7 linked regions of the Oryctolagus cuniculus genome follow. The protein of the gene in region 1 interacts with the protein of each later gene in a biochemical or structural test. Links are inferred from orthologs where the notes say so. Each region holds a gene or a part of one and is shown in the gene's direction. Other genes may lie near its edges.

Evidence for each region.
Region 2: the proteins of PLCG1 (region 1) and BAG3 form a complex in vitro, tested with the Homo sapiens proteins (2 studies listed by BioGRID). The link is inferred for Oryctolagus cuniculus from reciprocal best matches to the Homo sapiens genes PLCG1 and BAG3.
Region 3: the proteins of PLCG1 (region 1) and GAB1 form a complex in vitro, tested with the Homo sapiens proteins (2 studies listed by BioGRID and IntAct, with this or other methods). The link is inferred for Oryctolagus cuniculus from reciprocal best matches to the Homo sapiens genes PLCG1 and GAB1.
Region 4: the proteins of PLCG1 (region 1) and ERBB3 form a complex in vitro, tested with the Homo sapiens proteins (2 studies listed by BioGRID and IntAct, with this or other methods). The link is inferred for Oryctolagus cuniculus from reciprocal best matches to the Homo sapiens genes PLCG1 and ERBB3.
Region 5: the proteins of PLCG1 (region 1) and PDGFRA form a complex in vitro, tested with the Homo sapiens proteins (2 studies listed by BioGRID, with this or other methods). The link is inferred for Oryctolagus cuniculus from reciprocal best matches to the Homo sapiens genes PLCG1 and PDGFRA.
Region 6: the proteins of PLCG1 (region 1) and LAT form a complex in vitro, tested with the Homo sapiens proteins (2 studies listed by BioGRID and IntAct, with this or other methods). The link is inferred for Oryctolagus cuniculus from reciprocal best matches to the Homo sapiens genes PLCG1 and LAT.
Region 7: the proteins of PLCG1 (region 1) and EEF1A1 form a complex in vitro, tested with the Homo sapiens proteins (2 studies listed by BioGRID, with this or other methods). The link is inferred for Oryctolagus cuniculus from reciprocal best matches to the Homo sapiens genes PLCG1 and EEF1A1.

What each region holds. Positions count from the first base shown.
Region 1 is NC_091442.1:17,778,290-17,781,789, reverse strand, and holds part of PLCG1 (1-phosphatidylinositol 4,5-bisphosphate phosphodiesterase gamma-1), read left to right. Parts: intron 1-1,156; coding exon 1,157-1,241; intron 1,242-1,338; coding exon 1,339-1,422; intron 1,423-1,647; coding exon 1,648-1,682; intron 1,683-1,895; coding exon 1,896-1,968; intron 1,969-2,072; coding exon 2,073-2,174; intron 2,175-2,398; coding exon 2,399-2,517; intron 2,518-2,601; coding exon 2,602-2,687; intron 2,688-2,762; coding exon 2,763-2,883; intron 2,884-3,500. UniProt on the Homo sapiens protein: Mediates the production of the second messenger molecules diacylglycerol (DAG) and inositol 1,4,5-trisphosphate (IP3). Plays an important role in the regulation of intracellular signaling cascades.
Region 2 is NC_091446.1:11,052,123-11,055,622, reverse strand, and holds part of BAG3 (BAG family molecular chaperone regulator 3), read left to right. Parts: intron 1-2,676; coding exon 2,677-3,006; intron 3,007-3,500. UniProt on the Homo sapiens protein: Co-chaperone and adapter protein that connects different classes of molecular chaperones including heat shock proteins 70 (HSP70s), e.g. HSPA1A/HSP70 or HSPA8/HSC70, and small heat shock proteins (sHSPs), e.g. HSPB8.
Region 3 is NC_091439.1:21,136,242-21,139,741, reverse strand, and holds part of GAB1 (GRB2-associated-binding protein 1), read left to right. Parts: intron 1-3,180; coding exon 3,181-3,403; intron 3,404-3,500. UniProt on the Homo sapiens protein: Adapter protein that plays a role in intracellular signaling cascades triggered by activated receptor-type kinases. Plays a role in FGFR1 signaling. Probably involved in signaling by the epidermal growth factor receptor (EGFR) and the insulin receptor (INSR).
Region 4 is NC_091442.1:58,896,812-58,900,311, forward strand, and holds part of ERBB3 (receptor tyrosine-protein kinase erbB-3), read left to right. Parts: intron 1-398; coding exon 399-518; intron 519-624; coding exon 625-723; intron 724-891; coding exon 892-1,077; intron 1,078-1,248; coding exon 1,249-1,404; intron 1,405-1,635; coding exon 1,636-1,711; intron 1,712-2,180; coding exon 2,181-2,327; intron 2,328-3,396; coding exon 3,397-3,494; intron 3,495-3,500. UniProt on the Homo sapiens protein: Tyrosine-protein kinase that plays an essential role as cell surface receptor for neuregulins.
Region 5 is NC_091439.1:109,918,155-109,921,654, reverse strand, and holds part of PDGFRA (platelet-derived growth factor receptor alpha), read left to right. Parts: intron 1-1,994; coding exon 1,995-2,125; intron 2,126-2,668; coding exon 2,669-2,840; intron 2,841-2,993; coding exon 2,994-3,183; intron 3,184-3,500. UniProt on the Homo sapiens protein: Tyrosine-protein kinase that acts as a cell-surface receptor for PDGFA, PDGFB and PDGFC and plays an essential role in the regulation of embryonic development, cell proliferation, survival and chemotaxis.
Region 6 is NC_091450.1:7,782,849-7,787,036, forward strand, and holds the start of LAT (linker for activation of T-cells family member 1), read left to right. Parts: upstream 1-1,388; 5' UTR 1,389-1,639; coding exon 1,640-1,742; intron 1,743-1,873; coding exon 1,874-1,904; intron 1,905-2,017; coding exon 2,018-2,052; intron 2,053-2,246; coding exon 2,247-2,316; intron 2,317-2,442; coding exon 2,443-2,507; intron 2,508-2,772; coding exon 2,773-2,977; intron 2,978-3,063; coding exon 3,064-3,158; coding exon of another isoform or gene 3,159-3,170; intron 3,171-4,188. Other genes in the region: SPNS1 (protein spinster homolog 1), read left to right, coding at 1-20, 215-386, 526-620. UniProt on the Homo sapiens protein: Required for TCR (T-cell antigen receptor)- and pre-TCR-mediated signaling, both in mature T-cells and during their development.
Region 7 is NC_091436.1:99,027,911-99,031,914, forward strand, and holds EEF1A1 (elongation factor 1-alpha 1), read left to right. Parts: upstream 1-1,204; 5' UTR 1,205-1,232; coding exon 1,233-1,376; intron 1,377-1,633; coding exon 1,634-1,813; intron 1,814-1,926; coding exon 1,927-2,223; intron 2,224-2,303; coding exon 2,304-2,454; intron 2,455-2,555; coding exon 2,556-2,812; intron 2,813-2,978; coding exon 2,979-3,213; intron 3,214-3,315; coding exon 3,316-3,440; 3' UTR 3,441-3,725; downstream 3,726-4,004. UniProt on the Homo sapiens protein: Translation elongation factor that catalyzes the GTP-dependent binding of aminoacyl-tRNA (aa-tRNA) to the A-site of ribosomes during the elongation phase of protein synthesis.

The sequences.
Region 1 (3,500 bases):
ACAGGGATGCCAGCCCATCTCAGAGATTGGGGATGAATGGCGGCTAGTGTGAGCTAGTAAGAGGAAAATGGTATTGAATTCTGGCAGCCTGAGGGAAGACTGTGACATGACCCTTGGGTCAAACAGCATGGTGGGAGAGCAGCATCAGCAGAATGGTGAGGGCTCCAGGCGTGAAAGGGGGCTTGGGAAACTACTTCTGGAAGTTTGTACCGCAGAGGGGAACAGGGAGAGGTAAGCAGGGCAAGACCTGTCTTTTGGTGGGAGACAACAGACGGTTAACATGCTGATGGGAACAGTCCACAGGGAAGCTCTGGTGGCACAAGCCTTTTAGATAAGAAGGCATCTCGTTCCTTACCAGAAACTCGAAACCCTGACAGCTTTTACCTCTTGGGACTGAGGGTCAGATGAGGCTCAGCCATACTGGACCCCTGTGGAGAAGCCGAGTTCCCTCTGGTTTTACTGCTGCCTATCGGGCTATCTCCACATTTCAGAAGAGAAATCCTTTTTCTCCCATCTTGTCCATCCTGTTGCCAGGTCCAACAATATCCCCTGGCTCTCCCATCCTGCACAGGGTACCCTGGAGGGCAGGGATGCTTGCTCTCTAGAGTTCCTTTCCCATCCGACACCAGGAAAGTACCCAGTCACCAGCAGTTTCTCTGAGTGTGCCTATCCCCTCCTCCCATATTCCTTGCACTGTGGCACTGGGTGCTGATGGGGCTTGGGGATAATATGCTCCGAGGAGCAAACTCCCAGCATCCCATCATCCCACTGCTGAGCTACCCCTTGTAGGGAATTTGCCAGTGAGCCCTCCCTTGTGCCCTGCAGGGGCCAGCTGGCACCTGGAGAGCTGGAGGTACAGGCTTCAGCAGTACTGCAAGGAGGGGAGGCCAGGGGTTTGATTTTTCCCTCCTGTTAGGCCTGACCTGTTTTACTGAGCCTGGCCACTTCCTCATTGTCAGAATCATGGAATTTTCTTTGCTCATATGAGGCAACTGAGGCCCAGAGAAGGAAGAGACTTCCCTTGTCCACCTTGTGGGTTCTGATTCAGTCTCGTGCCCAGGATTCCAGATTCCCAGAGTAGTACTGATTACCTATCCAGCCCCAGGTGGGTTGGCCCACACATCAGAGGCCCCTGAGGACACACCTGTTTTCTCAGTATTTCAGCCAAAGACCTGAAGAACATGCTGTCCCAGGTCAACTACCGGGTCCCCAACATGCGCTTCCTCAAGGAGCGGCTGACGGTAAGGACCTCCTGGAGCTGTCTGCAGGGGAGGGGCCAGGGTGGCCAGAAGCCTTTGGCTGGGTGCCTGACTAGCCATCCTGCTCTGTACTGTGTAGGACCTGGAGCAGCGCAGTGGGGACATCACCTACGGGCAGTTTGCTCAGCTGTACCGCAGCCTCATGTACAGCGCCCAGAAGACGGTGCATGAGCCACCTACCCTCCCCTGCCCTGCCCTGCCTCTCCACTCCATCCTCAGCCCTGCTTGCCTCAACCCTGCTGCCCTGCTTGGGGGCTTTTGGGTGCCATTTCTCTAGCCTTTCTTCTCCTGAGGTCTGTCCCTTGCTGCCCCAGCCTCTCTTCCTAAGAGGCCGTTTCCTGTGAGGCCCCCAAGGACTTGCACCCTGACCAGGTTCTGTTTCCTGCAGATGGATCTCCCCTTCTTGGAAGCCAGCGCCCTGAGGTTTGGTTCGGAGTGGGGAGGTGGGGTTCTTTCCTGGGCCTCCCTCATCTCTGTCATGGGTACTTCCTAATCCATGTGAAAAGGGTGAGCCATGCTAGACTACTCTGGGTAGCTATGCTGGCTGGGAGTTGGCCTCTGCCTTCCAGGGGGCCCCTAGCTGTTAGCAGTGCTAGCCAACTGGCTGCCAGGCACTTACCATTTCTCTCCCTGCAGGACAGGGGAGCGACCAGATCTTTGCCGAGTGACCCTTCCTGAGTTCCAGCAGTTCCTCCTTGAGTACCAGGGGGTATGGCAGGGCTGGGGCTGGGCCAGGGTATCAGGCTTCAGGGCTGGGTTCATCCCTGACCTGAGGCCTCTCCCATGCCTTCCCTTTGTTCCCCTCCCTGTCAGGAGCTATGGGCCATTGACCGGCTCCAGGTACAGGAATTCATGCTCAGCTTTCTCCGGGACCCCTTGCGAGAGATTGAGGAACCATACTTCTTCCTGGATGAGGTGGGCTTCACTGTTATCTCTTTATGTCAGGGCGGGGGGTGGTGGTGACCAGAAGCCCAACTGAACCCCAAGAGCCAGCTTCTCAGAGATTCCTCCTTGTTACACCTGAAATCCACCTTGACCACCCCAGCTGAGGCTGAGTGACCTCTCTTCCACCCCTGTTCACCATCCCGGGGCCAGGCAGGGGCTCACTTTGTCTTCCCTTCCACATTTGTTTTGGACAGTTTGTCACCTTCCTGTTCTCCAAAGAGAACAGTGTGTGGAACTCCCAGCTGGATGCAGTGTGCCCAGACACCATGAACAACCCTCTCTCCCACTATTGGATCTCATCCTCACACAACACGTGAGTGTGGCTCCCTCAGCCCCACTCTGCCCTCTCTCGAGGAAGAGGAGCCCACCTGACCACACCCACTTCTTGCCTATCCAGGTACCTGACTGGGGACCAGTTCTCCAGCGAGTCCTCCCTGGAAGCCTATGCTCGGTGTCTGCGGATGGGCTGTCGCTGCATTGAATGTGCGTGGGGGCCAGGACCTGGGAGGGGGAAGGTGCGAGGCCTGCCCCTTTGACTGTGATAATGTTGCTTCCCAGTGGACTGCTGGGATGGCCCAGATGGGATGCCAGTCATTTACCATGGACACACCCTTACCACCAAGATCAAGTTCTCAGATGTCCTGCATACCATCAAGGAACATGCCTTTGTGGCCTCAGAGTGAGTGGAGAGGGGGTCCTCCTGGTGAACCCGGCCCCTAACTCTGACTCCTGGGACAGAGGGACCCCCTCATACCCATCCCCACTCCCCTCTCCTTCCTCTTGGCCTGCCCTCCTCTCCTTGCTCTATTTTCCTGTTAATTCCTGTTTCCTGCATCCTTGGCCCACATGGTTCCTGGCCTTTCTCTTCAACCTGAGGAACACATTTTAGCTCTTCTCAGTGTTAACCCTGGTCTCTTTATGCCAGTGACCTGCCAGTTTCTTTACTTCATAGCCTAGGGAATTACCTACATTCACTGTATCCCATTCCTAGATTCTTATTTACCACCTAACCTGTGGTCACTTGTGTCTCGCCTCACTCAAGGAATCACCAGTGGTCCCCGATAGCTAAATTAGGAGGTCTCTTACCTATTCTGACCTCTTCAGTGTAGGATATCTGCACTGCTGGGCAATCTGTGTAATTGGATTAACTGGGAACTACTTCTGTGCAGCTATTGCTACCCCAAGGCTTCCCCCTGAAAAACCCCTTCTACTTGCCAGTGGTTGTGGTCTATCTTTTCCATAGACAAGGTCCTCAGGCCCTTGTTTCCCAGTATCTTAGTCTGTAAGGGGCTGTTT
Region 2 (3,500 bases), on another chromosome or scaffold:
TCACTCCCCAAATTACCGCAACGGCCAGAGTTGAGCTGATCCAAAGCCAGGAGCCAGGAGCTTCTTCCTGGTCTCCCACGTGGGTGCAGAGGCCCAAGAACTTGGGCCATCTTCTGCTGCTTTCCCAGGCCACAGCAGAGAGCTGGATTGGAAGAGGAGCAGCCAGGACTCACACTGGCTCCCATATGGGATGTCGGGACTGCAGGCTGGGGCTTTAACCACTGTCTGGCCCCTCTCTTGTCTCTTAAAGTTGAGGTACAGAATATGGTCAGTAAGATACAGATAAGGCCAGCTTCCTGGACACAGGGGCTTTCTCCAGGTAGAGCCGAGAGCTCAGCCAGGCCTAGCTAAGGATTCTAGGGGGTGGCAGTGTCGGGACTACAGAGAAGGTATTATTGGACAGGTTTTCACAGGAGCACACCCATTTCCTGCCCCCAGAAGACAGAACCTCAGAAGGTTCTTTCAGACCCCTGTCTGGCCATGTCCTCTCCTCTGGGGTGACCACCATTTGACTTGTGTCACTGTTGATTGTCCTTCACCTTGGTTCCGCTGCCGTGCCCCCGTCCCCCTGCCCCCCCCCCCAGTCTGACAGGCACTGTCTTGTGCCTATGTAGGGGGAGCTCCTGTTTGTCGCAGGCCCCTGCGTCCCTTCTCATGGGTCTTACAAAACCTCACTGCAGCTCTGCAGGCTCAGTGTTGCTGGCTCCCATCCAGGCTGGTTCCACCCTTGAAAGCCCCATCTCCCCCGTACCTCAGGCCTCTTTATATTTGCCCCAGGCACCCTTAACCCATCTTCTAAGCTCCTTGTTGCAAGAGAGGGTGCCTTGCTGGTTTGGTGAGCCCGAGAGACCCACCAGCACGTGGTGAAGGCGTCCTGACTGCTGGGCTCTGGAGTGTGCAGTGTCTGGGGAGAAGCAGTGAGCCTGCAGGCAGCCCGCAGAGATGACATCGCACGGCCGTGCAGGCCGAGATTGCAGCTGGAAGGAAGTGGGGGTGGGCTGGGGGTGGACGGCACTCCGGGAGGGCGTGTTGTGGCTCTCGGCGGAGCAGCCGAAGCTTTCTCAGCACCTCCAGCCTGCTGCCTTTTACTGCCTGTCCCACGGCAGGAACTGGGTTCCGAATCTGACGTCCAGACCCACTGCCTGCTCTTGGGTGACCTGAGAGTTAAGCAGGCTAAAATAATGCTGCCGCCCTGAGCACGTGGCTATTCTAATCTGAGACTGCCTGCCTGCCTGTGTCCCCAAGGACAGGGCGACACCCTTGCCTTTTCTGTGTGCTGGACGCCCGCCCTAGGCAGGGTCTCAGCGGGATTGCAGTTAGTGTTGTCTGCACTCAGAATGCAGAGCAGCCCTTGTTGTCTGTCTCGCTTTTGGTGGATTTTGCGCCAGTGGGACTTGTACTGTGCAAGCTTAGATTCCCCACGTGTGCTTGCCATTCAGCAAGACTCCTCCTACAGGAAGGGCTCAGGGGTCTGTGCACTGGGATGTGTACGGATGACACAGATCAGTGCCCTTCCCCCACCCCGTGAAAGGAGCCCTAGTCCAAGGGGTCAGGGCTTCATTGCACAGCCTCTGTGTGCTGAGAGATGGCAGTGCCCAGTGACCCACCGGCCTTGTCTGAAATAAGATCTTTCCCTGCGGAGCATCTGGAACGCGGCCTTCTCAAGGGTCCCAAAATAGCCAGGCCACTGAAGGGAGACTGCGAGAGAGGACGGAAGAGGGGGTCCCCAGCCGCCGCTCGCAAGAGTGGGCCCTGTAATGCTAGAGGAGACTGACTCGGGGGCCTGGGCTGAGGTCCACAAGGAAGCCTGCAACGGGCAGGGGCGGGGCAGAGAGACCGATGTGGGCAAGGGGGGCTTTACAGCCGCGGAGCAGGGTGTGGCCCTGGACAGAAAGTGACTAAGGGGAAGTCAGGGTCAGAGAGATTCTGGCCAAACCTACCTAACAGGATTCTTGCTGCAGCCGGGCCTGTGGCGTGAGCAGACCCTGGAGGCTGAGGAAGTGGATCAGATATCCAGGGTGGGGCACTCTGGCTAAACCAACTGAGCAGGGTTCTTCTGCTAAAACTGGATCTTACAGGGGAATGCGCTGATGGGCCTAGGAGAAGAAGGTTCTGAAATCTGAAATAAAGTTTGAGCAAAGAATCCTTGTGGAAGCCGAGCTCAGGGAATCCCCAGATGCTTCCCCTCCCGGCTGGCCCTGCCTTTCTGGTTGTTCCTGACCATATCGCTGCAGGGGCAGCGCCTGTGCCACCCCACTTCTCTGCAAAGACTTCCCAACTGTGTTCTGTGTTTGTGTTTGGACTGGAAATCTAGGAGGTGATCTTTTATTAATTTTTTTTTGCTATACATTGGTGGTGGTTGCAGCTGGACCCTGCTTCCAAGGGCCCACCTTCTGGTCTGGATCTCTGAAGATCTGGGGACAGTCGGCTGCTCTCATTCACTGCTGTCAGTTTGGGAATTGGGAACTCGCTGTGCTCCACAGCTACCCTGGCTCACCTCTCTCCTGATGCCCCCAGACAGCAGTAGAGCTGGTGGCAGAGGCAGGGGGCTGGGCGCGTCCCAGCTGACACTCTGGGGTGCAGAGCACTCTGGGAGATCACGCTCTCGATGCCACAGTTGCCTTCTCGCAGCGTTTTCTTACCAGTTTCTAACCCATCTGTGTTTCTTCCCTTTAGGAGACTCCATCCTCAGCCAATGGGCCCTCGCGGGAGGGTGCCAGGCTGCTGCCCGCTAGGGAGGGCCACCCTGTGTACCCCCAGCTCCGACCAGGCTACATTCCCATCCCCGTCCTCCACGAAGGCGCTGAGAACCGGCAGCCGCACACTTTCCACGTCTATTCCCAGCCTGGGGCACAGCGATTCCGAACCGAGGCAGCCGCCGCTGCGCCGCAGAGGTCCCAGTCACCTCTGCGGGCTGTGCCGGATGCCACGCAGCCAGAGAAACAACAGTGTGCACAGGCGGTGGCAGCTGCGGCAGCCCAGCCCCCAGTCTCCCATGGACCTGAGGTAAGAGAGGCCTGGCCCTAGGCCAGGCGCCTGTTAATGAGCAGGGCATCTATCTGGGCCTGGCTGGCGGCGGCGGAGGTCACCCAGCAAGGACAGGTTGTTGGCCGCACGTCAGCCCCAGCGTTGTGTGAACGTGCACGGAGCTGGAAGTTGCCGAGCTGGGACTGGACACTCGGGCTCTGGCTCCAAGCTGGGGCCCCCCTTTCACACAGGGCTTTCTAGTTCCAAAGCACAGAGAGGTGCTTGTCCATGGTGCTTGGTGCTCAGGAGTGGATCCTAAGCCCTCGGAGCTGTGCTGTTAGGAAACCGAGACCACATCCCAGCCCTCCCGGCTTCGCACTGGCTGAAACAGGAAATCCAGAACAAGGAGTCAGGGACGCGTCGATAGCAGATTGGGTTTCGCTCCTGAAGCCAAATACTTCAGGGCATGTTGATGGATTGAGGGCATTAATAGCTCAAACCTGGCTTCCTCTGTCTCAGCTGAAACCCGCGGC
Region 3 (3,500 bases), on another chromosome or scaffold:
ATTTGTGTCTCTACCTGGATTGAGCAAGACCTGGATTGAGCTCCCTGTTCTGACTTTGGCCTGGTCCAACCCCAGCTCTTACAGGCATTTGAGGGAAGGGTGAACCAGTGGATGGAAGAGTACGTTCTCTCTGAGTGTCTCCATCTCTCTCACTTCTCCCTCTCGCCCTTTCTCTCTCTGTCTGCCTTTCCAACAAACTTTCTAAACATTTAATCCCCAGAGAGGGGTAAAATGTCATTTCTAGCTTCTCTTTCTAGTTTCTAACTACCAAGAGAAGCTTCTCTTGGCAGTTAGAATAAATCATGCTTTTTGATGTCTTCATGAATTAACTGTAATATTTATATACGTGCTATAGCAACATTCACTTAGCTCACTTTACAGCTCTTCTTCCTAGGCACAGACTGTATCCTAACTGTGAAGCTCGAATAGTAACACATTAATAAGACTTTTTAAGAATAGCAGTGTATCTCTAATCATGGGTCCCAATAACAAACAAGAATCAGAGCACCTGTGCTGATTATGCCTTACGTGTGGTAAATGCTGAAAAAAAAGTTTCATTCATGGGAGAAACTCACTGAGCATTTTCTCTGTGTGGTTTTAGAAGAGCTCAAAGCAAGGAGTCCAAATCTATAAGACCCATTCACCTGCATGTGCAGTTTGGGCTCTGCTTCTTGGAATTCTGCAAGCCTTACCAGATGCTAATTAATTGAAAACTATTTTCAGTTTGAGAATTTTGCCTGAGTAAATAGGAGTTAATTTCCAAATTTTAAACTTTTAATTCCATTTTATGACAAGTCTTCAAAAGGGCTTATCTTGAAAAATATAATACCTATATTATGTCGAGTTAATTTTTCTTTCTTGTTTATGGAAGGTAAGAACAGAAAAATGAATTTTTAGCTATTTATACAATTTATTGCTGTAACTTCAGTGTTTACTCTTAGCACTTGTAGTCACATTTATTAGGTATTGATTATAAAATGGTGTATACAGCATACACCATGAAATGGGTGAGTTGCTGTTTTGGTTCAGTTGAAAATATTCAGAGATTTATTTATGGGGATTTCAAATGTCACAGATTAAATAGTAATTCATAGTAAACCCTTAAAGAAGACATTAAGAAAAATATATACTACATGGAGGAGAAAAAAACTAGCAGAAGGACCAGAAAGCAGTCAATGTATCACATAGGCTATATTCACAGTGGGTTTTATGTACTACCTTCCTCTGAAGTAGAAACATGTTAGAATTGAATGATCTAGTTAAATTTTTAGTTCAACCAGTACAATAACAAGCTAAACACTAGAAATACATCACTGTATAAAGCCATATGAATTCTAATATTCTGTAACCCTAAAATAAATTTTGAAGATGATTGTTTTTATAGATCACACATTTCCTTTAATATTTTTTCTAAAATTGGTATCTATACACTAATAATTGAGCAGTTCATCTTAAGTGGGAGAAGAAAACCACCCAAACCAAGCCATCACATCTGTCTGACCTTGTTTTATTAACATCAGTGCAACCACCTAATTCTTAGCTTTCTGTTTCTTTCACTTGTGAATGATGAAAGTAGTTTTGTCCTCTTTATAGCTACAGGATCCTCAATTTTCTGAAAAGAGGCCTGGGATTCCAAGATTGCTTAAAAAAAAAAAAAAAAAAAAGAAGGGCCGTGTTCATAGTATGTGAAGATGTGTAAGAGGCAAGAGCTAGAGAAAAACTTGGATTATATTCCCTACCAAGCTTATGAAAGCAAAGACCTTCAAACAGCCATGGAAGGCAACCCCTACCATTACAATCAATACTGGCACACAACGGGGCTTAAAAGGGACTGGGGATAGGGAAGTGGAGTGGATGTGTGGTTCAGCATTTCACTACTTGAGATGCCCACCACCCATAATGGAATGTCTAGTTCAGCTCCTGGCTCCTCCATTTTTAGGTCCAGCTTCCAGCAAATGCTCACCCTGGGAGGCAACAGACAATGGCTCAAATACTTGTATCCCACTACCCACAAGGCAGACCCAGATTGAGGAGCCAGCTCCTGGCTTTGGCCTGGCCCTGCCCTGTCTGTTGAGCATTCGGGTTATGAATTAGTGGGTAGAAGACTTCTCTCTTTCCATCTTTCTGTCTCTCTCTCTGCCTTTCAGATAAAATGAAAATAAATAAATAAAAAGGAGAAGAGGAGACCATTCTACCACGTTGGTCCAACTAATGAACTGTCCTCAGGGTTTCAGTCTTGGGGGTTATTTTACTCATGTTAATTTCACTGTATGCGTATGTAATGTTTTGTTGTGAAAAATCTCAGTGTCAACCCAGCTTTTCCTGTTTGTTTATTTCAGGTTTGTGTATTCATGCAGTATATAAGCATTTGCCTCTCTCTGGGTTGCTCCCAGCCTTCCATTCAGTCCTAACCGGACTCATAGAGCGTTTTTCTTCTGCACCCTTAAAATTATACTTGGTTGCCTCAGTGCTGTCAACAGCATTTTACTTCTGGCTCTTCACCTTGTTTCCACATTACTTCATTCTGCACGAATCTGTGTTCTCAGAACATAGCTAAGCTTAGTACGCTACTTCTTCAGAAACCATGGAAGTGCTGCAGGCGAGTCCTTAAAGGGCAGATGGGGCTGTGAGCTGAGGGACCAGGTGATGCCCTGATGCTTGGACTTCCCAGGGCACGACTAGAATGTGTTTTACTAGTCCAGAATTAAAACTATTTCTCCCTAGTCCATGGACATGTGGAAAGACCAAAAAAAAAAAAAAAAAAAAAAAAATTGGGTCAAGAGTTGACCTCAGTACTCAGAGAACCACGGGCCTGGGAATGGGTCTCCTCAAGAGGGTGGACTTGGCCTAGGAACACTTTGTTATAGAAAAATCTGTCCTGCTAAGGCTGCAGAACACCTTCATTCCTGTGGCCTGAACACTAAAGACTGCTCAAGACGAGGTTAACCGTGTCGTTTTTAGAGCCACTGGAATGGTGAAAGACTCCTCTTAAATCTCTTTGACAAGAACCAGTTAGGTCCTGTATAAATGTTGCCATTTAGGCAGTATTTGTTTTAACTGACATTGTCATGGTTTACTCTTTTTTTTTGTGTTGAACTAACTTGTCGCCACACTTTAAAGCAGCTTTGTTTTAAAAGTGAAAATGTGATAGACAGTGTCGGTTAAACGTTGGTGTTGCAGAGCCTGTGAAGCCGCCTGGCATCTCCCTACAAGCACCAGCTGATTTGCCTTTAGCTATAAACACGGCACCACCGTCCTCCCAGGTGGATTCGTCTGCTGCTCTACCTCCTTCCTATCAGCTGATCAGCCTTCCACCACCCCCGGAAACTCTTGGCATCCAGGAGGATCCCCAAGACTACCTCTTGCTAATCAACTGTCAAAGCAAGAAGCCTGAACCCACCAGGTAAATTGTGTGTGCTGTGCTTGTGTGCACCTCCCTTTAAGCCTGTTAACCCTCGACGTGAAGGTTTTGATGACCCATTGGTACAGGTGTACGTTTC
Region 4 (3,500 bases), about 41 Mb from region 1:
ATGTGCCTTCTCTGTGCTTAAGTTTGCACATCTGTACAGCGCAAATAGCACTCATCCTTCCAGGGAGACTGTTAGGGAGAAAGGGGATAATGCACATGAAAGTTCTTTGAAACGCACAGAGCACTGGATAAAAGGTACTCAAGGTGCCGACTTCCCAGCTCCCCAGCAAAGGGAAAACCTACCCCTCCTGACTCCTGAGCTCGCAAGCACAGCTTCTTCAGTCCTTGGGATCTGTTATTCCTAGATATGCCCATAGTGCTTTCCAGGGCTAAACATAATTCCCATTCCTGCCCCCACACCCTGGGCTCTGCTGCTCCTGGTAGCTATTGCGGGGAGCAGGTTGGTATGGGACATGTGAGTGGGCTTTCCTGAGTTTCTCTTTCCCATCTGCTCCTCAGAGCTTAGAGCCTCTGGATCCCAGCGAGAAGGCTAACAAAGTCTTGGCCAGAATCTTCAAAGAGACAGAGCTGAGGAAGCTTAAAGTGCTTGGTTCCGGCGTCTTTGGAACTGTGCACAAAGTGAGTGACCCCCAGGAAGTCTGGGGAGGTAGGGAATGGATCTGGGGGCAAAGGGCTGACCCTGGGGAGAATGACCCTAGGCTGACTCCTGCCCCAAACTTCCCAGGGTGTGTGGATCCCCGAGGGTGAATCCATCAAGATTCCAGTGTGCATTAAAGTCATCGAAGACAAGAGTGGACGGCAAAGTTTTCAGGCCGTGACGGATGTAAGTAAAGGAATGCTGTGCACCGGTGAGAGAGGGGACAAGATCAGACACAAGCACAGCCTGTGTTAGCAGATACTGTGTTAGACATGCTGATGCACCTGAATGTCCGGGGACGCCCTGGTTGGGGTGTGCCCGTGATTCCTGGATAACATCTCCCGTGTCTCTTAGCACATGCTGGCCATCGGCAGCCTGGACCACGCCCACATCGTACGGCTGCTGGGACTGTGCCCAGGGTCATCGCTGCAGCTCGTCACTCAATACCTGCCTCTGGGTTCCCTGCTGGATCATGTGAGGCAGCAGCGGGAGTCGCTGGGGCCACAGCTGCTGCTCAACTGGGGCGTACAAATCGCTAAGGTGAGAGGAGCATGGCGGGAGTCCTGCGGGAGCCACCTTGCTGCAGCAGGCAGGGCAGGGGTGAGAAGATGACAGCTTTGCAGTGCTTAGAGGACCCTCAAGGGTCTGGGGGCATTCAGGAGGTCCGCAGTGGATTTCCTCCGAGCCTGGGGCTATTTCCTTCCCCTACAGGGCATGTACTATCTTGAGGAGCACGGTATGGTGCACAGGAACCTGGCTGCCCGCAACGTGCTGCTGAAGTCAGCCAGTCAGGTTCAGGTGGCAGATTTTGGTGTGGCTGACCTGCTGCCCCCAGATGATAAGCAGCTCCTCCACAGTGAAGCCAAGGTGAGGGGACACAGAGGGCCTCGTGAGAGGTGGGGTAGTGTAAACAAAGCACGGGGGAAGTCTCTCAGAGCAAGCAGATGCTTCACCGTTAAATTCATGGAGGGCAAGGTGGGGTTGGCAGAAATTTAAGTGCAGACGGCAAGAAGGAAAAACGATAGCATGCTTGGGGTTTGGAAATGCTAAGAAAATTTGTGGAAATGGACTAGTGACACCTTTGTCTTTACTCCCCAGACTCCAATTAAGTGGATGGCTCTTGAGAGTATCCACTTTGGGAAATACACACACCAGAGTGACGTCTGGAGCTACGGTCAGTGCATCTGGGTGCCTTCATGCCATCACTGTCCCAAATTCCACGACTACCTTTTTTTTTTTTTTTTAGTTAATTAATTAATTTGAAAAGCAGAGTTGTAGAGAGGCAGAGAGGAGAGGCCTTCCATCCACTGGTTCACTCCCCAGATGGCCACAATGGCCAGAGCTGCGCCAATCCAAAGTCAGGAGCCAAGAGCTTCTTCTGGGTCTCCAATGTGGGTGGCAGGGGCCCAAGGACTTGGGCCATCTTCTGCTTTCCCAGGCCATAACAGAGCTGAATTGGAAGCGGAGCAGCCGGGACTCGAACCGGTGCCCATATGGGATGCCTGCTACACCACAGTGCCAGCCCCCACAACTGCCTTTGGAGATACCCTCTCTTAGACTCTCTAAGCCCTTCACATCTTGTGTCTGACCAACTTCTGCCTCCCTTTTTACTTCATTGCCTATGGGTACTGTTTTCTTACCAGGTGTGACAGTTTGGGAGCTGATGACCTTCGGTGCAGAGCCCTATGCAGGGCTGCGATTAGCAGAAGTACCAGACCTGTTGGAGAAGGGGGAACGGTTGGCACAGCCCCAGATCTGCACCATTGATGTCTACATGGTCATGGTCAAGTGTGAGTCGCCTGCTGGCTCCAGTCAATTTTTTTCAAATACTTATTTATTTATTTATTTTTAAAGATTTATTTGAAAGAGTTACAGAGAGAGGTAGAGAGGTCTTCCATCCACTGGTTCACTCCCCAAATGGCCGCAATGGCTGGAGCTATGCCAATCTGAAGCCAGGAGCCAGGAGCTTCTTCCAAGTCTCCCAAGTGGGTGCAGGGGCCCAAGGACTTGGTCCATCTTCTACTGCTTTCCCAGGCCATAGCAGAGAGCTGGATTGGAAGAGGAACAGCCAGGACTAGAACTGGCACCCATATGGGATGCTGGCGCTTCAGGCCAGGGTGTTAACCTGCTGCGCCACAGCACCGGCCCCTATTTATTTTTCTGAAAGGTAGAGTGACAGATCTATCTGTTGGTTTATTCCTCAAATGACTGCAACAGCCAGGGCTGCGCCAGGCTGTCACAGTATCCAGGAACTCCATCCAGGTATCCCACATGGGTGGCAGGGACTCAAGTACTTGAGCCTTCATCCACTGCTTCCTGGTGCTTTAGCAGGGAGCTGGATAGGAAGCCTAGTAGTTGGGACTTAAACCAGCACTCAGATATAGGATGTGGATGACCCAAGGAAGAGGCTAAATTGCTGGCCCGACATCCCCCCCTCCCCCAGCCTTTTTTTTTTTTTTTAAGAGAGAGATCGATCTTCTATCTGCTGGTTCACTCCCCCAATTGGCCCCAAAGGCCGGAGCTGCGTTGATCTGAAGCTAGGAGCCAGGAATTTCTTCTGGGTCTCCCACGCGGGTACAAGGGCCCAAGGACTTGGGCCATCTTCCACTGCTTTCCCAGGCCATAGCCGAGAGCTGAATAGGAACTGGTGCTCATATGGGACACCAGAATTGCAGGAGGTGGCTTTACCCACTATGCCATAGCACTGCCCACCCCCACCCCCACCCCAAGCCATTTTTTCACAGTTGATCTTAGCCAAAAGGCTGAAAATCCCAGCTATTTGTTAACTGTTCTCCCTCCCATCTCCTCTTACGGCTCCATGCACACTGACGGTTTTTTACCTCCTGTGTCTTATCCTAGGTTGGATGATTGATGAGAACATTCGCCCAACCTTTAAAGAACTAGCCAATGAGTTCACCAGGATGGCCCGAGATCCACCACGGTATCTAGTCATAAAGGTGAGT
Region 5 (3,500 bases), on another chromosome or scaffold:
GTCATTATTTTGTATTTCTGTGCGGCCGCTGGCTGCCCCTCCGTCTTCAGGACCTCAATAGCCAGGCCTCTGAGGTTTTACAGATTCTGTCTCCCTCGAACTGATTGGTGGAGCATTTTTTTTTTCATGTCATTCTTTTTTTTTTTTTTTTATCTTTTATTAAATGAATATAAATTTCCAAAGTACGACTCATGGGTTACAATGGCTTTCCCCCCCATACCGTCCCTCCCACCCACAACCCTCCCCCTTCCCACTCCCTCTCCCCTTCCATTCACATCAAGATTCATTTTCGATTATCTTAATATACAGAAGATCAGCTTAGTATACCTTAAGTAAGGATTTCAACAGTTTGTTCCCACACAGAAACATAAAGTGAAAAATAATAGATGATTTTTTTTTAAATGATGATGAAATCAGATCAGACCTATTGTCATGTTTAATCCCAGTGAGAGTCAAGTTGGGAATTGATAATTTCTTTTTTTTTTTTTTTTTTTTTTTTTACAGAAGATCAGTTTAGTGTACATTAAGTAAAGATTTCAATCGTTTGCATCCCCATAGAAGCACAAAGTGAAATATACTGTTTGAGTACTCGTTATAGCATTAAGCCTCAGTGTACAGCACATTAAGGACAGAGATCCTACATGAGGAGTAAGTGCACAGTGACTCCTGTTGTTGACTTTACAAATTGACACTCCTGTTTATGGCATCAGTAATCTCCCTATGCACCAGTCATGAGTTTCCAAGGCTATGGAAGCCCCTTGAGTTCTCTGACTCTTATCTTGTTTAGACAAGGTCATAGTCAAAGTGGAGGTTCTCTCCTCCCTTCAGAGAAAGGCACCTCCCTCTTTGAAGACCTGTTCTTTCCACTGGGATCTCACTCGCAGAGATCTTTTTGCCAGAGTTTCTTGGCTTTCCATGCCTGAAATACTCTCATGGGCTTTTCAGCCAGATCCGAGTGCCTTTAGGGCTGATTCTGAGGCCAGAGTGCTATTTAGGACATCCGCCATTCTATGAGTCTGCTGAGTATCTCACTTCCCATGTTGGATCACTCTCCCCTTTATTTATTCTATCGGTTAGTGTTAGCAGATACTAGACTTGTTTATGTGCTCCATTTGACTCTTAGTCCTTTCATTATGATCAATTGTGAACTGAAATTGATCACTTGGAATAGTGAGATGGCATTGGCACATGCCACCTTGATGGGATTGAATTGGAATCCCCTGGTATGTTTCCAACTCTACCAATTGGGGCAAGTCAGCCCGAGCATGCCCCAAATTATACATCTCTTCCCTCTCTTATTCCCACTTTTATGTTTAACAGGGATCACATTTCAGTTAATTTTCAACACTTAAGAATAACTGTGTGATAATTACAGAATTAAACCGGTCATATTAAGAACAGACAAAAAAAAATACTATGAGGGATAATGTATTAAGTTGTCCATTAGCAGTCAGGGCTATGCTGATCAAGTCACCGTTTCTCATAGTGTTGATTTCACTTCAGGAGGTTTCCTTTTTGGTGTTCAGTCAGTTGTCACCGATCAGGGAGAACATATGGTATTTGTCCCTTTGGGACTGGCTTACTTCACTCAGCATGATGTGTTCCAGATTCCTCCATTTTGTTGCAAATGACTGGATTTCGTTGTTTCTTACTGCGGTATAGTATTCTAAAGAATACATATCCCATAATTTCTTTATCCAGTCTACCATTGATGGGCATTTAGGTTGGTTCCAGGTCTTGGCTATTGTGAATTGTGCTGCAATAAACATTAGGGTGCAGACCGCTTTTTTCTTTATCAATTTAAACTCCTTTGGGTAAATTCCAAGGAGTGGGATGGCTGGGTCGAACGGTAGGGTTATATTCAGGTTTCTGAGGAATCTCCAGACTGATTGGTGGAGCATTTTGCGGGGTTTTCTCACCCGTGCGCACTTGAAACCGTCTCATAAGCCGAGCGCACCGGGGGATTCAGGCGCTCGTGTGTGCTCTCGTTGCAGCGACGTCGGAGTTGGATCTGGAAATGGAAGCGCTCCAGACTGTGTATAAGGCAGGAGAGACGATTGTGGTCACCTGCGCCGTCTTCAACAACGAAGTGGTGGACCTGCAGTGGACTTACCCCGGGGAGATGGTGGGTGCCCCATGGAGACGGCCGTGGTGCACTTGGCTGCACGTGCATCTCGCTAGGGATCGTGGGCAGGTGCATCTCCCTAGTGATCCATGTCCTGTCGGCGTTGCTGGGCCCCTCGCCTCTGCAGTGAGCACCGGGTGGTCTTTCAGGCTCCTCCCTTGAGGGTGGGCATTGGCCCAGCTGCCTCAGACTCCTGCATCTCACCACAGTGCCTGGCGTGGAGTCCTGGCTTCACTCTGGATTTGCGTGGTTTTTTGTTTTGTTTTGTTTTGTTGTTTGTTTTTGTTTTTTAGCAGCTGCCTGCTAATGCCACTGTGTGTACCCTGGGAGGCCTCAAGTCCTTGGGCCCCTGCCACCCACACAGGAGACCTGGACTGTGTTCCTGGCCCCTGGCTGCGGCGTGGCCCAGCTCCAGCGGTTGTGGGCCTTGCGGGGAGTGAACGGGCAGATGGAACATGCTAGTCCTCTCTCTGCCTCTCAAATAAATGAATAAAATAGAGCGCATGTCTTCAAAGCTTTTTTTTTTTTCCTCTGCCACTGCAGAAGGGCAAAGGTGTCACAATGCTGGAAGAAATCAAAGTCCCCACGCTCAAGCTGGTGTACACGCTGACGGTCCCCAGGGCCACAGTGAAGGACAGTGGGGACTACGAGTGCGCCGCCCGCCAGGCCACCAGGGAGGTCAAAGAGATGAAGAAGGTCACCATCGCCGTGCATGGTAGGGCCCGCCTCCCGCGAGGGCTGCCGGGCCGTGTGCACTGTGGGGGGCCGTGTGCACTGTGGGGGGCCGTGTGCACTGCGGGGGCCGTGTGCACTGCGGGGGCCGTGTGCACTGACGCCCTTGCTCCAATGCGCACTCTTCCCTCTGCAGAGAAGGGGTTTGTGGAGATCAAGCCCACTTTCAACCAGTCGGAGGCCGTCAACCTGCACGAAGTGAAGCATTTCGTGGTGGAGGTGCGTGCCTACCCCCCGCCCAGGATATCCTGGCTGAAGGACAGCCGGACTCTGATCGAGAATCTCACGGAGATCACCACGGACGTGGAGCAGGTGCAGGAGACGCGGTAAGGAGCCCCAGGCGCACCTGGCAGACCTGAGACGGGGCGGTGGGAGGTCCCCGGCATGGGTGGTGTGTCGGTGGCACCAGGAGCCACCTGTCATCTTCCCCACCCCCGTCACAGACAGGGCGCTGGCTCTGCGGGGTGGGGCAGGGAGGAAGGAAAGGGTAATGGAGACCATTTGGGTTGAACGCATTCCTTGATGTCTCCAGGAAACACAGTGTTGTTGGCTCAGCGTGGAACACAGTTGCCCCGGTAGGGGGCTCCATGGGCACTAGGAATGTCCTGGCTATAAGTGGTGCCGGGGCTGCTTGGTGACATGG
Region 6 (4,188 bases), on another chromosome or scaffold:
GCCCCTACCTCATCGGCCTGGTGAGCCTCACCCCGGGCTTGGGGGTCCTGTTCTCCCAGCACTGGCCGGTGGCCTACCTGGGCGGCTGCAGGCGCTGGGCACCCTATAGCCTCCCCTGGGTGGGGAGGGCTTTGTCTTGGCAGAGTCCCTGAGGGCCCACCCCTTTCCCATGGCTGTCCCGGCCGCCCCCGACGCTCCGCCCTGCCCCCCGCAGATCTCCGACCGCCTCCGCCGCAGCTGGCCGCCATCTTTCCTGTCCGAGTTCCGGGCCCTGCAGTTCTCGCTCATGCTCTGCGCCTTCGTCGGGGCGCTGGGCGGGGCCGCCTTCCTGGGCACCGCCATGTTCATCGAGGGTGACCGCCGGCGGGCGCAGCTGCACGTGCAGGGTCAGTGCGGGCCCCGCCCTGGCTCCCGGCCGCTGTCTCAGCGCTGGGGCTGGCGGCTCTGTGTCCTCCTCCTGGTGGTGGCTCTGCGGGTCTGCTCCAGCTGACCTTCCAGCCCTGGCTCTGACCCCGCCCCCCACAGGTCTGCTGGCCGAGGCAGGGCCCGCAGATGACCGCATCGTGGTGCCGCAGCGTGGCCGCTCCACCAGGGTCCCCGTGTCCAGTGTGCTCATCTGAGTGGCCGTCCCTCACCTGTCCGCACATCTGCCGCCGCGGGCCCTGGGGCCCGTCCCACGAGGTGCCCGGGCCTAAGCCCTCAGCCCGGCCCAGCTTCCAGGAGGGACCCTGGGCCCTGTCCAGCTCCCAGACACTACATGGGCAGCCTAGGGGAGGAGTTGGGGGTCTGGGGTGGGGAGGGGTGGGGTCCCCTCCACTGGAGCAGCCCCAGGGGGTTGGTGCTATTTGTAACCGAATAAACTTTGTAGCCAGACCCCAAGTGCCTACCTGAGTCTTTTGTCTGGATGCTGGTGACCCCTGACCTCTGGCTGGCCATCTCCAGCCCCAGGGCTCCTGGGGGCGGCGGGGGCGCTGCCGGGGGGCCACCGGGCCAGTCCCTGTGCTGTGGGGCTAAGCGCCCAGCAGTGAGGACCGCCGTGCCAGTGAGCTGGCTCCGTGTGACCCTGAGTCACGGCCGGGCTTACTGGAGCCCGCCCCCCCCTCCGCACACAACCCCTGGCCAGCCTGGGCGAGCTGGGGTGGGCGCTGCCCTCTGCCTGGCGGAATGCCTGCCGCCGACCCCGACCCCCGGTGGCTTGCCACAGGCCTTCACTCCCACGGAGGAGCTGCCCCTCGTCCCACGGGCAAGTGTCCCTTCGTGAGAACCCTGACGGGGAGGCCTCCCCCTCCCCACCGGCTGGGTGGGGGTGGGAAGGGGCGGTGCAGCGGGCTGGGAGCCCGATGATTTCCTGCCTTCACCCGGTGCTCACCACAGCTTCCTGCCGAGGACGGGCGCCGAGGCGAGGCGAGGCCAGGCGGGCGTCTGGCCCAGGGCAGGTACCGCTGGGGTGCAGGGACCCGTCTCACGCTTGCATGGCGTGGCTGGAGCCCTGGACCCCAGCCCGGGCCCTGGCCTGACCTAGGGGGCTAGGGTCCCCCAGAGCTTGCACAGAGCCCAGCCCCCACAGAGGGCTCCGCTGCCCCCTACCCCCCACCGCTGCGCCCTTCCCTGAGGACCTGGGCCAGGCTCTGCCCAGCAGATGGAGGTGAACGTCCTTGGACACTCGGCGCTGGGCCTCCTGCTGGGGCCGCTCCTGGCTGTGCTGCTAATGGCCCTGTGTGTGCGCTGCCGCCGGCTGTCAGGTGAGCAGGGGCTTGAGGGCGGGGGTGCACCTGCTGGAGTCGCTGTACAGTCCCCGGCCTCCCTCGCCTGCCTCCGCCTGCCACCGCCCCGAGCCCTGGCCCCTGCCTCACCAACCGCTCTCTTCCCCCAGACTCCTACAACAGTGCCTCTTCCTCGGATGGGTGAGTGGGTCCCCTCCGCCCCGTGCCTGTCCCCCGCAATTCCCCATGGAGGGCTGGGCTGGGGGTGGGGGGTCTTGCTCGGCTCCAGCCCCCACCTGTGTCTCTCTTGCCAGTTTGTATCCCAGGAGCATCTTGATCAAACCGCCCTGTGAGTAGTTGGAGGCGCCCCTGCCTCCGGGAGAGAGGCTCCCTCCGTTGGGTGTCCCCTCGTTCTAGGTTGCCCACATGGCCTTGGCTTGAGCTGGGATGGGGAGTGGGGGGCGGTCAGGGCACCAGGGCTTCGAGGAAGGCGGGAGATGCGGGTCGGAAGTCACTCTTCCCAGCTCAGCTCTGTGTCCTCAGATACCCCTGCCCCCTGGCCGGCTGTTACCTCCGTTCCACCCCTGAGCCAGCCAGACCTGCTCCCCATCCCGTGAGTAGCCCCCCAACTCCTTCGCCTCCAAATCTCTCTCTACTCCCTTGTTTTTCCAGTGCCCCCCGCCCCGCCCTGCTGTAACCCTCCTGGCATTGAGTGTGACCTCTGACCTTTGATTCCCAGGAGATCTCCGCAGCCCCCTGGGGATTCCCACCGGATGCCGTCTTCCCGGAGGGACTCTGGTGGCGGTAAGTGTGGCAGGGCACCCCCACTCTGCCGGGAAGGCAGGGGTGCCTCCAACTACTCACAGGGCGGTTTGATCAAACTCACAGGGATATACAAACTGGCAAGAGACACGGGTGGGGGCTGGAGCCGAGCCAGACCCCCCACCCCCAGCCCAGCCCTCCGTGGGGAATTGCGGGGGACAGGCACAGGGTGGAGGGGACCCACTCACCCATCCGAGGAAGCCCAACCCTGAGCTGACTCAGTTTCCCTCTTGCTCTCTCCTTGAAGCCCAGAGCGTGGCGAGCTACGAGAACGAGGGTGCGTTTGGGCTGCCGGGGGCGGCGGGGTTGGGGGGCCCAGCCGGGTGGGGAGGCGGGGGCCTGTCTCGGGCTGTGCTGAGCTCTCCCCACCCCGTGTCGTTGCCCGCAGAGCTGGCCTGTGAGGACGCGGATGAAGATGAGGATGAGGAGGACTCTCACAATGAGGGCTACCTGTGAGTGGCAAGGGGGCAGGTGGGCAGGTGGGTGCTGGGGCCCCGGGCGAGCTTCCTCACCCCCTCCCCCATTGGTTCACTCTCAGGGAGGTGCTTCCCGATGACAGCCCGGCCACCAGCGGCCCTGGCCCCTCCGCCCCTGCGCCCGGAAACCCTGGTCTCCGAGACAGTGCCTTCTCCAGTGAGTCAGGAGGTGCCGGGCCCCCCCCCCCCGCATGCTCCCCTGCCCTGTGAAGGTTTTAGCGACCCCGCTCCCCTGTGCTCCCTCTCCAGGGCTCCCCTGCTGCAGGTGCCGGACTTCTGCCCTGGCCTTGATTTCTCCTTTATTGTCTGGGAGATGTCCTTGCCTTTATTCGCAGCCCTTGTGCTGTATATATGTTTTCCCCTCCTATCCAGTTCTTTCTGGGTCTCTGCATGTTCCTTTTTTGTAGCCCCCTGTTCTTGTTTCATGGAGGCAATAGCATCTTGTACATTTCTGTTTTTTTTTTTTAACTAAAGATTAAAAAGAAATTTTGCAAAAATGTATTTTGAGAGGCAGTGGCTCAGATGCCGGCAACAGCCAAGGCTCAGCCTAACTGAAGCCTGGAACCTGGAACTCAGCCATGTGCGCGGCAGAAACCCAGCCGCTCGAGCCGTCCACGGCTGCCTCCCAGGGTACACCGCAGCAGGAAGCCGGAACTGGGAGTGGAGGGGGAGGGGCAGGGGGCTCCAGCCCAGGCTCTCTGAGCTGGGAATACAGGTTGTGGGCATCCCCCGCAGGGTCTTCACCGCTGTGCCCAGTGCCCACCGCCATCTGGTCGGTCTGAGGACCTGATGGTGTGTGTGTGTGTGTGTGTGTGCGCGCACACATGGCTGGGGGAGGGGGCGCCTTTTCCTCTGCTCCCCTTGGAGCTGCCTTTCTCCCTTCAGTTTGGTTTCACCCCGGGGCTTTTCTCGCCTGCTACGTGTGCTGGTCCCTGGCTCCCGCACCTGCAAGCTGCCGTCCCTCACCATCCCAAGTCCTGGGCTGCATCAGTTTGTCCCAGTGCTGCTTCCCATCCATCCATCCATCCATTCATTCACTTGTCACCCATTGTCCTGCAAATGCCTCCGTGGGGCTGAGGCCAGGCTGTGACAGCCACTGAGGCAAAGCACAGAGACTTCAGCGTCTCGTGCTGGCTGAGGGCTGCCACTTTATTTATTTGAGAGGCAGAGTTACAGAGAGAGAGAGA
Region 7 (4,004 bases), on another chromosome or scaffold:
GCTCGTCAGTGGTCGGAGCGCACATCGCCCACGGTCCCCGAGGCGTTGGGGGAGGGGACGGCGATTGAACCGGTGCCTAGTGGAGGTGGCGCGGGGCAAACTGGGAAAGCGGTGTCGTGTGCTGACTCCGCCCTCTTCCCGAGGGTGGGGGAGAACCGTATATAAGTGCCGTAGTCGCCCTGGACGTTCTTTTTCGCAACGGGTTTGCCGCCAGAACACAGGTGAGTGTCGGGTGTGGCTTCCGCGGGTCTGGCCTTGAGCGGGCTGGGGCCCTCGCGTGCTCGGGGACACTGCCATGCCACTGAGCCTCTTGACGAGGTTCCTGGCTCCGAATTTCGGGCTGTAACGGGGCGGGAGGGTTGGAGGTTTGCGCGTTTTCCAGGAGCCTCTTCCTCGTGCTGGAGTTGAGGCCTGGCGTGGCCGCCGCGTGCGAGTCCTCTCGCCTTCGCGCCGGCCTGGCTAGCCTCGCTCGCGGGGCCCTTCGGCCCTTTGAGTTTTTACGTGGATCGGTACGGCTCTTTTTTTGTTCGTCGAGATGGGCCCGCCGAGGCCGGGCGGGCTACCCCGCGCGTTCGTCGTCCGGCCCGAGGGGGTGGCAGGGCGGCCGCGCGGCGTAGGGACAGCGAGCGGCGGGGCCCGCCCGTCCGGGCGCACATGTCGGGCGCGGCCTGGGCGAGGCCCGACGGCGCCGCGCCTGCCCAGGCCGGGCGAGGGGAGAGGCGAGGGTCGTGGGGCGGGCGGCTCGGTGGGGCCGCGGCCGCCCCACCCCGGGCGGCGGAGCCCGGCCCGCTCGGCACCAGTTGCGTGCGCGGAAAAAGATGGCCGCTCGCCGTCCCCGCTGCAGGGAGCTCAAAATGGAGGACGCGGTGGCCCGGGAGAGCGGGCGGGTGAGTCACCCACACAAAGGAAAAGAGCCTTCCCCTCTTCGGCCGCCGCTTCCTGCGACCCCACGGGGTACAGGGCGCCGTCTGGGCACCTGGCTTCTTCGTGTGGCCTTTGGAGTTCGGCTTGGCTCGGCTGGGGGCGGAGATTTTTTAGGCGATGGAGTTAACTCACTCGGTGGGTGGAGACTGAAGAGTTAGGCCAGCTTGGCATTGGATGTAATTCTCCTTGGAATTTGCCCTTTTGAGTTTTGAACGTGGCTTAGTCTCAACCCTCGGACAGTGGTTCAAAGGTTCCCCCCCTTTTTCCATTTTAGGTGTCGTGAAAACCACCGCTAAATCAAAGCCAAAATGGGAAAGGAAAAGACTCACATCAACATCGTCGTCATTGGCCACGTAGATTCGGGCAAGTCCACCACCACTGGCCATCTGATCTACAAATGTGGTGGCATCGACAAAAGAACCATTGAAAAATTTGAGAAGGAGGCTGCCGAGGTATGTCCAGTATCGCAAGGGAAAGATGCTGAATTACATTAAGTCTGGCCACTAAAATGAGAGTGCTATGACTATAAAAGACAACAGTGATTAGTTGTCTGAATGTGAATGTTAAAATCACGAGCCACCATATCGACTGGAGAGCCACCTAGGCCCAGCAGTTTGGGAAGCGGAATGCATTCCCAAGCGGAGGGGGGCATGGGGTTTCAAGCTTTGCTGTGTCTTAGTAACCGTCTGAGTGCTCTGTGTAATTACAGATGGGAAAGGGCTCCTTCAAGTATGCCTGGGTCTTGGATAAACTGAAAGCCGAGCGTGAGCGTGGTATCACCATCGACATCTCCCTGTGGAAATTTGAGACCAGCAAGTATTACGTGACTATCATTGATGCCCCAGGACACAGAGACTTCATCAAAAACATGATTACAGGCACATCTCAGGTTTGTGCAACTAGTAACTGTAGACATAAGGTTTTCTAGGCGGGGGGTGGGTGAGTTCCTCCTTAGGTTTGAGGTACCTTCGTTCACAGTGTGTGTCCTTGATTTCTTTAAAGGCTGACTGTGCCGTCCTGATTGTTGCTGCTGGTGTCGGGGAATTTGAAGCTGGTATCTCCAAGAACGGGCAGACCCGTGAGCATGCCCTTCTGGCTTACACGCTGGGTGTGAAACAGCTAATTGTTGGTGTTAACAAGATGGATTCCACTGAGCCACCCTACAGCCAGAAGAGATACGAGGAAATCGTTAAGGAAGTCAGCACCTACATTAAGAAAATTGGCTACAACCCTGACACAGTAGCATTTGTGCCAATTTCTGGTTGGAACGGTGACAACATGCTGGAGCCAAGTGCTAATGTAAGTGACTTTCAAGACAGTGCTTGTTAAAGAGCTGGAAGTGGTGATGTGATAGAATTAATTGTTCTCTTGTGTTTCAGATGCCGTGGTTCAAGGGATGGAAAGTCACCCGCAAAGATGGCAATGCCAGTGGAACCACACTGCTTGAAGCCCTGGACTGCATCCTTCCACCAACTAGACCAACTGACAAGCCTCTGCGTCTGCCCCTACAGGATGTCTACAAAATTGGTGGTAAGTTGGGTATTAATGTAACATCAGAATATAACTTGAATTGGAACAGGTGAAAAATCTTTGGCCCTCAATAACTCTTTGGTAATCTGCAAATATTTTAGGTATTGGCACTGTCCCTGTGGGCCGAGTGGAGACTGGTGTTCTCAAACCTGGCATGGTGGTAACTTTTGCTCCAGTCAATGTCACAACTGAAGTCAAGTCCGTCGAAATGCACCATGAAGCTTTGAGTGAAGCTCTTCCTGGGGACAATGTGGGCTTCAATGTCAAGAACGTGTCTGTCAAAGATGTTCGTCGTGGCAACGTTGCTGGTGACAGCAAAAATGACCCACCAATGGAAGCAGCTGGCTTCACTGCTCAGGTAACAATTTAAAATGATCTGTTAATTGACAATGTTCATGCATACTCAAGGGGGTAAGCAATCTGATGCATGTATGAAGTGTTATCACATCAGGGGAGTTAGCATTTCTAGCTGTTACCACAGTTCAGTTTGAGAAGCACTAAAATGCATATCCTTTTTTTCCCAGGTGATCATCCTGAACCATCCAGGTCAGATCAGTGCTGGGTATGCCCCTGTACTGGATTGTCACACAGCTCACATTGCTTGCAAGTTTGCTGAGCTGAAGGAAAAGATTGATCGTCGTTCTGGAAAGAAGTTGGAAGATGGCCCTAAATTCTTGAAATCTGGTGATGCTGCCATTGTTGATATGGTTCCCGGCAAGCCCATGTGTGTTGAGAGCTTCTCTGACTATCCTCCTCTGGGTAAGGATTTTTTTTTTTATTGCTATTACAAGTTGTACTAAAGATTAACAATTGCTTCTGTGAACTATGTGTCTCATGGCAACTCAATACTTGTTTTAATAGGTCGTTTCGCTGTCCGTGATATGAGACAGACGGTTGCTGTGGGTGTGATCAAAGCAGTGGACAAGAAGGCTGCTGGAGCTGGCAAGGTCACCAAGTCTGCCCAGAAAGCTCAGAAGGCTAAATGAATATTACCCCTAATACCTGCCACCCCAGTCTTAATCAGTGGTGGAAGAACGGTCTCAGAACTGTTTGTCTCAATTGGCCATTTAAGTTTAATAGTAAAAGACTGGTTAATGATAACAATGCATCGTAAAACCTTCAGAAGGAAAGGAGAATGTTTTGTGGACCATTTTTTTTGTGCGTGGCAGTTTTAAGTTATTAGTTTTTAAAATCAGTACTTTTTAATGGAAACAACTTGACCAAAAATCTGTCACAGAATTTTGAGACCCATTAAAACAAAGTTTAATGAGAAACCTGTGTCTTCTTGTCAACACTGGACCTGTCAAATGTGTTCCAGGTTTTTCTAATTAGAATTGGCTGGAATTTTAAAACTCCATGGGTTAGGGATTTTTTCCCACCTGTTTGTTTTAAGCTATGGAGGGCTGTTAGCCCTGCTGGTTAGAACTGTTGACATGTAATTTAGTTTAGAAAGCAAAATTCTGTAATCTTAAGGGATGAAATGTTGCATATAAAATTGTGTAGCTACAAGTAAATTTGTTAGAATCATTAAATTTTGGTTTCCCAAATTA